Linked DNA regions of Saccharomyces cerevisiae S288C. Changing the gene in region 2 together with the main gene of any one other region gives a genetic interaction. Each region holds a gene or a part of one and is shown on either strand. Other genes may lie near its edges.

Evidence for each region. A genetic interaction does not mean that the proteins touch.
Region 1: of BUD14 (region 2) and BNR1, a mutation in one rescues a mutant of the other (synthetic rescue), as found in Saccharomyces cerevisiae (3 studies listed by BioGRID, with this or other methods).

What each region holds. Positions count from the first base shown.
Region 1 is NC_001141.2:39,849-46,816, forward strand, and holds BNR1 (formin BNR1), read left to right. Parts: upstream 1-1,976; coding exon 1,977-6,104; downstream 6,105-6,968. Other genes in the region: SMU2 (Smu2p), read left to right, coding at 1-292; POT1 (acetyl-CoA C-acyltransferase), read right to left, coding at 343-1,596; AIM20 (Aim20p), read left to right, coding at 6,353-6,967. UniProt on the Saccharomyces cerevisiae protein: May organize microtubules by mediating spindle positioning and movement in the budding process. Potential target of the RHO family members.
Region 2 is NC_001133.9:164,342-170,839, reverse strand, and holds BUD14 (protein phosphatase regulator BUD14), read left to right. Parts: upstream 1-1,968; coding exon 1,969-4,098; downstream 4,099-6,498. Other genes in the region: serine/threonine protein kinase KIN3, read left to right, coding at 1-444; ADE1 (phosphoribosylaminoimidazolesuccinocarboxamide synthase), read right to left, coding at 545-1,465; YAR010C (gag protein), read left to right, coding at 4,974-6,296. UniProt on the Saccharomyces cerevisiae protein: Important for bud site selection. Seems to be a regulatory subunit of the BUD14-GLC7 type-I phosphatase complex. The BUD14-GLC7 complex is necessary to regulate microtubule dynamics at the cortex and may function as a specific activator of the dynein complex.

The DNA.
Region 1 (6,968 bases), on a different chromosome or scaffold from region 2:
TCGAATCTCCCCCATGACAGACTCCGGTAAGATTTCTTTGAAAATTTTATTCAACATACCTTTGGATTATCCAAAGGCCCCAATAAAACTAACGATGAAAAGTAATGAAGAAGTTTCCTCTTACATGGACACCGTGATAGCGAATTTCAACTGGAAAGCCCGTCAATTGGTTAAGGAGGACTGGAGGATATTATCTCAAATAAACTATTTGGTTAGTGAGTTAGAAATATTGAAAATGGAAAATTATAAACAAATTGATAAACTACGTAATAGCTTTTACAAAACCATATAAATATGAGCATAATAAAAAGGGAGAATATTAACTATTATCAAGTATTAAAACTATTCTTTAATAAAGATGGCGGCGGCACCCATACCAGTACCGATACACATACTAACAACCCCGATTTGATCCTTTTTCAGTTCTCTTAGTATGGTAGCTACTTGCCTTGCGCCAGTACAACCCAAGGGATGGCCTAACGCGATTGCACCACCTCTTGGATTTACTTTATTCAAATCGATGCCCAGTTTATGGATGCAGTATAATGCTTGGGCCGCGAATGCTTCATTTATTTCAAAAATATCGATATCTTGGACTTGCAAGCCAGTAGCTTCCAGGACTTTTGGTATGGCGTATGCAGGGCCCACACCCATGATTTCAGGGGGAACCCCCACTGTTTGAAAATCGATGTAGCGACCTAGCACAGGCAGATTTAACTGGTTGGCTACGGACCTGCGGGCTAACAAGACACCTGCCACACCATCGGAGACCTGGGATGCATTGCCCGCAGTTGTGGTTCCTCTGTCTTTGATAAAGGCAGGCCTGATGCTTGAAAGCGACTCCGCAGTGACGTTAGGGCGTGGCCCTTCGTCCGACTGGCAAATTGAGCCATCTGGTAATTTTATAGGTAAAATTTCATCTTCGAAAAGCCCCTCATTTTTCGCCTTGTAAGCTTTTTGATATGAATTCGCAGCGAACTCGTCTTGATCCTTTCTACTGATCTTGAAATTAGCGGCAACATTCTCATTAGTAATGCCCATTGGTATTAGACATTTCTTCGCTTCTCGGTTTTTTTGCAGCTCTTCAGAGGAGATCATGCCCAAGGGATTGACGTTTTTGTAGTTATTGGTCATTGATTCCACTCCCAGCGCCAAACCAATATCAATTTGCCCAACCTTAATCTTGTTGGCAATATCGTTCACCGCCGTTAAACCTGAAGAACATTGTCTGTTTAAAGCGACAAATGGCGTCGAGTAGGGAATCCCACTTGCCAAGCATGCAGCCCTGTGTTCTGTAGCACCGGCTCCAACATTGAGAACATTTCCACAGGCAACTTCTTCGATTAAGTTCAAATCAGCCCTCAAAGGTTCCGGAAACCTCCCGATGAACTCATTGAGAAAGTTGTATAATAAGTAGTCTGTGTTTACATCTTTGAAGGCACCTTTAAAACCTTTACCGATGGCAGACCTGTTAGCAGCCACAATAACTACATCTTCGGGTCTTTTCTCCAGCAACGAGTTCTTCCTCTTCGATTCACCCTTACCCATGGCGCTCTCCACCAAATGATCCTTGATACTTTGTAGTCTTTGAGACATTGCTTTTATGTAGTGTTATATTCACTCTGTACTCAGAGCCACAAGAAATAACCATTCGATTTCAATAGAACTGAGATGCAAAAGTATACCCTATTTATATCTCTTCTTTCTAGTAAAACTCCAATAAATTTGAAACCAATAGAGGGAGAAAGGAAAAAAAAGCTGCGGTGTTAATACTATTATCCCCGTTTCCCTTTGATAGCGCCTTACACGGCGCTACCACATCATTACCCTCCTCATGTTGACGCGTCAAGTTTTTTTTCTTTTTTCGCTATTTGTGGCATAGGTTCAAAACTAGCAAATTCTTGATCTTTTGAAGATTACATAGTGATGATGATCGTGACACAAAAGCAGATAAAAAAATAGCACAATCATCAGCGATGGACTCTTCCCCGAACAAGAAGACGTACCGCTACCCTCGCAGATCGCTGTCACTTCACGCGCGTGATAGGGTCAGCGAAGCCCGTAAATTGGAAGAATTGAATTTGAACGATGGGCTGGTTGCCGCTGGCTTGCAGTTGGTCGGTGTAGCGTTAGAGAAACAAGGTACAGGATCACATATATACATGAAACAGAAGAATTTCTCAGCTAATGACGTTTCTTCGTCACCAATGGTTTCCGAAGAAGTGAACGGATCGGAAATGGATTTTAATCCGAAGTGCATGCCTCAGGACGCATCACTCGTCGAAAGAATGTTTGATGAGCTTTTAAAAGATGGAACTTTTTTTTGGGGGGCTGCTTATAAGAATTTACAAAACATCTCTCTACGAAGGAAATGGTTATTGATATGTAAAATCCGTAGTTCCAATCATTGGGGGAAAAAGAAAGTGACTTCGAGCACGACATACTCTACACATTTGGCCACTAATGAACTAGCTGAAAACGCACACTTTTTGGATGGCCTAGTTAGAAACCTTTCAACAGGTGGCATGAAGTTATCGAAGGCTCTATATAAACTAGAAAAATTCCTGCGAAAGCAAAGCTTTTTGCAACTTTTTCTCAAGGATGAAATTTACTTGACGACATTGATCGAAAAGACTTTGCCACTCATATCCAAGGAATTACAATTTGTTTATCTTCGGTGCTTTAAAATACTGATGAACAACCCACTGGCGAGAATAAGAGCACTACATTCTGAGCCTTTAATTCGCTGGTTCACCGAGCTTCTGACGGATCAAAATTCTAATTTGAAATGTCAGTTACTTTCTATGGAGTTACTTTTATTATTAACGTATGTTGAGGGTTCCACGGGTTGTGAGTTGATATGGGACCAGCTTTCCATATTATTCACCGATTGGCTAGAATGGTTTGACAAAATCCTTGCGGATGATATTGCAATTCATTCATCCCTTTATTTGAACTGGAACCAATTAAAAATAGACTATTCGACAACTTTCCTACTGCTAATAAACTCCATACTGCAAGGTTTCAACAACAAGACTGCACTAGAAATTTTGAATTTTTTGAAAAAGAATAATATACATAACACTATCACATTTTTAGAACTGGCCTATAAAGATGATCCTAATAGTGTCGTGATCATGGAACAAATAAAACAATTCAAATCCAAAGAATCTGCGATATTTGACTCGATGATAAAAACTACCAACGATACGAATTCGCTTCACCCAACAAAAGATATCGCAAGAATAGAAAGCGAGCCTCTATGTCTTGAAAATTGCCTGTTATTGAAGGCAAAAGATAGTCCCGTAGAGGCACCAATAAACGAGATTATTCAATCGCTGTGGAAAATCTTAGACTCTCAAAAACCATACTCAGAATCTATTAAACTATTAAAATTGATAAATTCTTTGCTGTTTTATCTCATAGATTCCTTTCAAGTGTCAACGAATCCTTCTTTTGATGAAACCTTGGAGTCCGCAGAAAATGTGGATTATGTTTTTCAAGATTCTGTTAATAAATTGTTGGATTCTCTACAATCTGATGAAATTGCTAGAAGAGCGGTCACAGAAATTGATGATCTTAATGCTAAGATTTCTCATTTGAATGAAAAATTAAATTTAGTAGAAAATCATGATAAAGATCATTTAATAGCAAAACTAGATGAAAGTGAATCTTTGATATCTCTGAAAACCAAGGAAATTGAAAATCTGAAACTGCAGTTGAAGGCAACCAAGAAAAGACTAGACCAAATTACCACGCATCAAAGGTTATATGACCAGCCACCTTCATTGGCAAGTAGCAACTTGAGTATTGCCGGCTCGATAATAAAAAATAATAGTCATGGAAATATCATTTTCCAAAATTTAGCAAAAAAGCAACAGCAGCAGCAAAAAATTTCTCTGCCCAAGCGTTCAACTAGTCTACTAAAAAGTAAAAGAGTTACGTCCCTTTCATCATATTTAACTGATGCAAATAACGAAAATGAGTCCCAAAATGAATCCGAAGATAAATCAAAAGACTCATTATTTCAAAGATCTACGTCAACCATTAATTTTAATATCCCTTCTATGAAAAATATTACTAATATGCAAAATGTCTCTCTAAATTCGATACTTTCAGAGTTGGAATTTTCAAATAGCCTAGGAACACAACCTAATTACCAATCGTCTCCCGTGTTGTCTTCGGTTTCTTCTTCACCAAAACTTTTCCCTCGACTTTCCTCAGATAGTCTTGATAATGGAATCCAACTAGTACCTGAAGTTGTTAAACTACCTCAACTTCCACCGCCCCCTCCTCCACCTCCCCCTCCTCCACTTCCACAGTCTCTTTTGACTGAAGCAGAAGCTAAACCGGATGGTGTTTCCTGTATTGCAGCACCTGCACCGCCACCCCTTCCAGATCTATTTAAAACTAAAACTTGTGGCGCCGTTCCACCACCACCACCGCCACCGCCTTTACCCGAGTCCTTGTCGATGAACAAAGGCCCCTCCAATCACGATTTAGTTACTCCTCCAGCTCCACCTTTACCAAATGGTCTTCTTTCTTCCTCCTCAGTGTCTATCAATCCAACGACAACCGATTTAAAACCACCTCCAACTGAAAAGCGATTGAAGCAAATCCACTGGGATAAGGTGGAGGATATCAAAGACACACTTTGGGAAGACACGTTTCAACGCCAAGAAACAATCAAAGAATTACAAACTGATGGTATATTCTCTCAGATTGAAGATATTTTTAAGATGAAAAGTCCGACTAAGATTGCAAATAAAAGGAACGCAGAATCCTCAATTGCCTTGTCTTCAAACAATGGCAAGTCTTCCAATGAGCTGAAGAAAATTTCATTCTTATCAAGAGATTTGGCTCAGCAATTTGGTATTAATTTACACATGTTTTCCCAATTATCTGATATGGAATTTGTTATGAAAGTATTGAACTGTGATAACGACATTGTCCAAAATGTTAACATACTGAAATTTTTTTGTAAAGAAGAGTTAGTAAATATACCAAAAAGTATGCTTAATAAGTACGAGCCATATTCACAGGGTAAGGATGGTAAAGCAGTAAGTGACTTACAAAGAGCTGACAGAATATTTTTGGAGTTGTGTATCAATTTAAGATTTTATTGGAATGCAAGATCAAAGAGTCTGCTGACATTGTCAACATACGAGAGAGATTATTACGATTTGATTTTCAAGTTACAAAAAATTGATGATGCAATTTCACACTTAAATCGTTCACCTAAATTTAAAAGTTTGATGTTTATTATCACGGAAATAGGCAATCATATGAATAAAAGAATTGTTAAGGGTATCAAATTGAAGTCATTGACTAAACTTGCCTTTGTCAGATCCAGTATTGATCAAAATGTATCATTTTTGCATTTTATTGAAAAAGTCATAAGAATAAAATATCCTGATATATACGGTTTTGTGGATGATTTGAAGAACATTGAAGATTTAGGTAAAATCTCACTAGAACACGTTGAATCAGAGTGTCATGAATTTCATAAAAAAATTGAGGATTTAGTTACTCAGTTTCAAGTAGGAAAGCTATCCAAAGAGGAGAACTTAGACCCCAGAGATCAAATTATTAAAAAGGTCAAGTTTAAGATTAATCGGGCCAAAACAAAAAGTGAATTATTGATTGGTCAATGTAAATTAACTTTAATAGATTTGAATAAACTGATGAAATATTACGGTGAAGATCCCAAAGATAAAGAGAGTAAAAACGAATTTTTCCAACCCTTTATTGAATTTTTAGCCATGTTTAAGAAATGTGCCAAGGAAAACATTGAAAAGGAGGAAATGGAAAGAGTGTACGAACAAAGGAAGAGCTTGTTAGATATGAGGACAAGCAGTAATAAGAAAAGCAATGGAAGTGATGAAAACGATGGTGAAAAAGTAAACAGGGATGCTGTTGATCTACTCATATCTAAATTACGCGAAGTAAAGAAGGATCCAGAACCTCTAAGAAGAAGAAAGAGTACAAAACTCAATGAAATAGCCATTAACGTACATGAAGGAGATGTAAAAACGAGAAAGGATGAAGATCACGTTTTACTAGAGAGAACGCATGCTATGCTGAACGATATTCAAAATATATAGTGAAGACTTAGTATTTTATGTAGTTGTGGAGCTTATATAAAGAAATGGACAATATTCGCAATCGCTTCTCAAAAGGGAAATATTTTCCCTTTTCGGGCGGTGGTCGTGTTGACAAATTTCCTAGTTAAGAACTAAGATTTGGAGATGGACAGATTCATTAATAAATTTCAAAATAAGCACAGAAAGCATCGAATTTTTAGCTCAAAACAATCTACTTTTCAATCATCAAAACAGACTATTGAATAAAGATGGGCAATGTGTCTGTGGCAGTGGGAACGGCAGTTGGGATTCCAATTGCTGTGGGCGTAATAATAGCCCTGATATTTTGGTGTAAATTACAACGACGTTACAAAAAAGAAGAGATTAGAGATGCTGATTTGGAGAAGATGGTAATGGAAGAAGTGGCAGTGTCGGTATATGATGGTTTTAAAGCCGAAATTAACAGCTCAAGTGAAGCTTCCACGATAAACGAAAAGGAAGCAAACCAGGATCTTAAACCCTGCCAAGAAAAAACCGCCAAGGCAGGGTACACACCAGCATACAGAAGGCAATTGAACGCTAGTATGGGGACTTTGCGTCCAAAAAAGCAGAGCACTGCATATACCAATGTCCCCGTCATTTTCAGCGGCGAAAAGGTGAATTATGGGATGGTCAGAGATCCTTCCTATAGTTTTATGTATCCACTGACGCTATCGCGCAAAGAAACGAGTAGTTTGAGATCAGCTTCTACGTCAAACTTGTCATCGAGCACAGAAAATACTGCGTTACACGAAGAAATAAAACTGGATGACCCATATGAAAACGATTTTACGAATTATACTGTCAACAAGAGAGAATTTATTGACAGCTTACGGCCACACTAAT
Region 2 (6,498 bases):
CAGGCAAAAAATTATCTCGAGCTACAAACTAAGATTAAAAACGGGAAATGTGACACCGTCCCTGAGTATTACTCTAGAGGGCTTAATGCCATAATACATTCAATGATAGATGTGAACTTAAGAACCAGGCCTTCCACTTTTGAATTACTGCAAGATATTCAGATACGAACTGCAAGAAAGTCGTTGCAATTAGAGAGATTTGAAAGGAAGTTACTGGACTATGAAAATGAGCTGACAAACATTGAAAAAATCCTCGAGAAGCAAGCTATTGAATACGAAAGAGAACTGAGTCAGTTGAAGGAACAATTTACCCAGGCAGTGGAGGAGCGAGCCAGGGAAGTAATTAGCGGTAAGAAAGTTGGTAAGGTTCCAGAATCTATAAACGGATATTATGGTAAAAAATTTGCCAAACCTGCATACCACTGGCAAACAAGATATCGATAAAATTTGCTCTGAGAACATTTATACATTAATACATACGGGTATGTATGAATCATATTCAGTGAGGAGTTACACTGGCGACTTGTAGTATATGTAAATCACGTTAGTGAGACCATTTAGACCCTGTCAATGTTTCATAAGCCTCTATATATTTGGCCCTTGTCCTGTCGACAATGTCTTGGGGCATTTTGACGCCGTTAACACCGTTCAACTTATTAGCAGTAAGCCAGTCTCTTAAAAATTGCTTATCGTAAGAATCTTGGGATTCTCCTACCTTATAAGAGGCACCGTTCCAGAATCTAGAGGAGTCTGGCGTTAGCACCTCGTCCACTAGAATAATTTCATTGGTCTTTTCGTCAATACCGAATTCGAATTTAGTGTCTGCGATGATGATGCCCTTCTCCTTAGCATAATCTTTGCACTTGGAGTACAGTTTTACAGCCAGTTCTGCCACTCTACGTGACAAATCTTCACCCACCAGCTCAGCGGCCTGGGCAGGAGAGATGTTTTCGTCATGTTCACCTTGTTCAGCCTTGGTCGATGGGGTGAAGATTGGTTCTGGGAACTCTTGAGATTCTTTAAGTCCTTGAGGTTGTTTCAAACCATGCACAGTACCTGTTTTTACGTACTCTTTCCAAGCAGATCCGGTGATGTAGCCTCTGACAATTACTTCCAATGGAATTAGTTTATGTTTGTGAACCAATAGAGAGCGGTCTTCTAGTTGCGTTTTGTACTTTGGTTCGCTCAATTTTGCAGGTAGATAATCGAAAATAGTCTTACCTGGGGCGATGTCGACCAAATGATTACGAACATCGTTGGACAGGAACTTGAACCAGAACTCTGACAGTTTGGTCAATAGGATCCCCTTTTCAGGAATGCTGTTTTCCATAATAACGTCATATGCAGAGATACGATCCGTAGCAACAAACAGCAACGTACCAGCGTCTACCTCATATATGTCTCTAACTTTACCTCTGGCCACCAATGGCAATATACCGTCCAGTTCAGTCTTCGTAATTGACATTATCGTTAATATTTCGTATGTGTATTCTTTGTAAGCAATGCTTATGATTCGATTGTTCTTAATAGTACCAACTGCAAAAGATAAAACCCAACCGTCTTACCTCAAAGAATCTGGGTAAGAATATATAGAATGTATATATATATATATGTATGTCTATATGTATTAGATGGCATCTTCGAGATTAGTATTATTACATCCTCATCTCTCGCAAGAGTCAGACTGACTCGTGAATAAGCTTCGGGTGACCCTTATGGCATTCTTTTTCAACCTTCAGGAAAAGTTTCAGATGAGTTGAAATTTCGAGTATGGCTACATGGATCAAGTGCTGTAAACAAAGAAGCTTCTACAGGGGTACGCTGGTTGTGTTTTCTGCTTTGCTATCGTGTAGAACTGGATCCATTCTTTCCTGGCTGTGGTAGTACTTAAGGAGTTGGACGTGTTCAAGTCGAGAAAGAGGTGAAATACACGTAGTTTTTAGATAACATTCTCTGCTTGGTAAGAGAATGAGTAATAAGGAAGAGCATGTTGATGAGACTTCCGCAAGTGGTGTCAAGGAGGTTAGTTCTATAGCTGCTAGACATGACAATGGTTACGCGCCTTCGCTAATCACGTCGACGTCGGGCATGGACTCCTTTCAATCGCACGCGCTACTGAATGATCCAACCCTAATAGAGGATTATTCAGATATCATTAATAATAGGCCTACAAGTGGAAGTAAACTTACTTTAGGAAACGAGGATTCGGAGAGTATGGGCGGAAGTGTTGTGGTGACTCCGACTTCGAATAAGAGTTCGCCCTTCAATTCGAAACTTAATATACTGAGTAATGCGGCAGAAAAGGGCCATGATGTTCTGCGAAATAGAGATGATGACAAAGAGTTAGAGGAGGAGAACGTGGAAAAACATATGCATAGCAACAGTAAAAGGGATCAGCGACATTACAAAGAAAATTCTTCGGAATTGCCCGACTCATATGATTATTCGGATTCTGAATTTGAGGACAATTTGGAAAGAAGGCTACAAGAGATCGAAACTGATTCCGTGGATAGCGCCGATAAGGATGAGGTGCATTTTTCAGTGAATAATACAATGAACCCTGACGTTGACGATTTTAGTGATGGCTTGAAATACGCCATCTCGGAGGACGAGGATGAAGAGGAAAACTACTCTGATGACGATGACTTTGACAGAAAATTTCAAGATTCAGGGTTTCAAGGGGAGAAAGACGATTTGGAGGAGGAAAACGACGATTACCAACCCTTATCGCCGCCAAGAGAACTGGACCCTGATAAACTATATGCTTTATATGCGTTCAATGGCCATGATTCTTCACATTGTCAATTAGGGCAAGACGAACCTTGTATACTTTTGAATGACCAGGATGCCTATTGGTGGCTGGTTAAGAGGATCACTGATGGTAAAATCGGGTTTGCGCCAGCGGAAATTCTAGAAACCTTTCCAGAAAGACTAGCTCGATTGAATTGCTGGAAAAATGAAAACATGTCTTCTCAATCGGTTGCTTCCTCCGATTCGAAAGATGATTCCATCAGCTCTGGTAACAAGAATCAAAGTGATGCAGAGAGTATAATTCCGACACCTGCACTGAATGGATATGGTAAGGGGAACAAATCTGTTAGTTTCAATGATGTTGTCGGTTATGCAGACAGGTTTATAGATGATGCAATTGAAGATACCTCGTTAGATAGTAACGATGATGGCGGTGAAGGCAATGGACAGTCGTACGACGATGATGTTGATAACGACAAGGAAACAAAAGTAACGCACCGGGACGAATACACTGAAGCGAAGTTAAATTTTGGCAAATTCCAGGATGATGATACGAGCGATGTAGTGAGCGACGTCTCCTTTAGTACATCTTTGAATACACCACTAAATGTGAAAAAAGTTCGGAGACAAGACAACAAAAACGAAAGTGAGCCTAAGACATCATCGAGTAAAGACAGAGAAGATGATTATAATGCAAATCGGTATGTGGGGCAAGAAAAGTCTGAACCGGTTGACAGTGATTACGATACCGATCTGAAAAAAGTATTTGAAGCGCCTCGTATGCCATTTGCGAATGGTATGGCAAAATCAGACTCTCAAAATTCCCTTTCAACAATTGGCGAGTTTTCACCGTCGTCGTCAGAATGGACAAACGAATCACCATCCACTCCAATAGTTGAAGAAAGCAGCAGTATTCCATCATCTAGAGCAATAAAGGACATTTCACAATATATTCATGCAAAATCGAAAATTGAAGAGACAACAAACGTGGAAAACACAGAGGGGCAAATTCAAGCCAGCTTGGGGTCTAGTGGAGGAATGGCAAATCAAACTGACGCAGAACAACCTAAAGAGGAGCTAGAAAAACATCACAGTACCCCCGAAGAAGAAAAGCAATCAACCTTATCGTTACACTCATCATCTGAAGAAGATTTTTATATGGATGAACAAAGGGCGGTATCATCAGCAAGCATAAATAGTTCACTTTCCGGATCAAGGGCATTGTCTAATACCAATATGTCCGATCCGGCTTCGAAGCCCAATTCTTTGGTTCAACATCTCTATGCTCCAGTTTTTGACAGAATGGATGTGTTGATGAAACAATTGGATGAAATTATTCGTAAATGATATTGTCCTTACAATAAAGCCTGGTCTTTTTCTCATCCAACGAACTTGCATCATATTCATGAATATTTATTTGTTTTAGAAACATTTCGGAAAAAATAAGGTAGTAACAGTTCAGCATATATGATAGCTAAAACAAACAACTATATATCGTATCTACAAAGTTTATCTTACTTCTTCTATTTTTTAACTTTGCTTCAGATTATGATAATGAAAAGGAGGAATAAAATTCTGTCATTATTCAGCATCCTCCAATGTGTCATAGGGATATAACTGGGGTTGAGGAGGTAGTAGTCGACAACTACTTAGTCGTGATACAACAGTATGGATAGGTACTTTCCACGAACATTACTGATGACAGTCAGCTATTCACGAATTCAATTGTGTTGGATTAACAAAAAAATTTGGACGCAACCGGAATCGAACCGATGACCTCTTCCTTGCAAGGGAAGCGCGCTACCAACTGCGCCATGTGCCCAACTCATTACAATACTAGACTTATGAAGGAATGGTAAGTGCTTAGAAGCTTTATGATGTAGTAGAGATTTAAGGCCATCAATTACATTGTTGAAAATAAGAACCTGTTGGAATAGAAATCAACTATCATCTACTAACTAGTATTTACATTACTAGTATATTATCATATACGGTGTTAGAAGATGACGCAAATGATGAGAAATAGTCATCTAAATTAGTGGAAGCTGAAACGCAAGGATTGATAATGTAATAGGATCAATGAATATAAACATATAAAACGGAATGAGGAATAATCGTAATATTAGTATGTAGAAATATAGATTCCATTTTGAGGATTCCTATATCCTCGAGGAGAACTTCTAGTATATTCTGTATACCTAATATTATAGCCTTTATCAACAATGGAATCCCAACAATTATCTCAACATTCACCCATTTCTCATGGTAGCGCCTGTGCTTCGGTTACTTCTAAGGAAGTCCACACAAATCAAGATCCGTTAGACGTTTCAGCTTCCAAAACAGAAGAATGTGAGAAGGCTTCCACTAAGGCTAACTCTCAACAGACAACAACACCTGCTTCATCAGCTGTTCCAGAGAACCCCCATCATGCCTCTCCTCAAACTGCTCAGTCACATTCACCACAGAATGGGCCGTACCCACAGCAGTGCATGATGACCCAAAACCAAGCCAATCCATCTGGTTGGTCATTTTACGGACACCCATCTATGATTCCGTATACACCTTATCAAATGTCGCCTATGTACTTTCCACCTGGGCCACAATCACAGTTTCCGCAGTATCCATCATCAGTTGGAACGCCTCTGAGCACTCCATCACCTGAGTCAGGTAATACATTTACTGATTCATCCTCAGCGGACTCTGATATGACATCCACTAAAAAATATGTCAGACCACCACCAATGTTAACCTCACCTAATGACTTTCCAAATTGGGTTAAAACATACATCAAATTTTTACAAAACTCGAATCTCGGTGGTATTATTCCGACAGTAAACGGAAAACCCGTACGTCAGATCACTGATGATGAACTCACCTTCTTGTATAACACTTTTCAAATATTTGCTCCCTCTCAATTCCTACCTACCTGGGTCAAAGACATCCTATCCGTTGATTATACGGATATCATGAAAATTCTTTCCAAAAGTATTGAAAAAATGCAATCTGATACCCAAGAGGCAAACGACATTGTGACCCTGGCAAATTTGCAATATAATGGCAGTACACCTGCAGATGCATTTGAAACAAAAGTCACAAACATTATCGACAGACTGAACAATAATGGCATTCATATCAATAACAAGGTCGCATGCCAATTAATTATGAGAGGTCTATCTGGCGAATATAAATTTTTACGCTACACACGTCATCGACATCTAAATATGACAGTCGCTGAACTGTTCTTAGATATCCATGCTATTTATGAAGAACAACAGGGATCGAGAAACAGTAAACCTAATTACAGGAGAAATCCGAGTGATGAGAAGAATGATTCTCGCAGCTATACGAATACAACCAAACCCAAAGTTATAGCTCGGAATCCTCAAAAAACAAATAATTCGAAATCGAAAACAGCCAGGGCTCACAATGTATCCACATCTAATAACTCTCCCAGCACGGACAACGATTCCATCAGTAAATCAACTACTGAACCGATTCAATTGAACAATAAGCACGACCTTCATCTTAGGCCAGAAACTTACTGAATCTACAGTAAATCATACTAATCATTCTGATGATGAACTCCCTGGACACCTCCTTCTCGATTCAGGAGCATCACGAACCCTTATAAGATCTGCTCATCACATACACTCAGCATCATCTAATCCTGACATAAACGTAGTTGATGCTCAAAAAAGAAATATACCAATTAACGCTATTGGTGACCTACAATTTCACTTCCAGGAC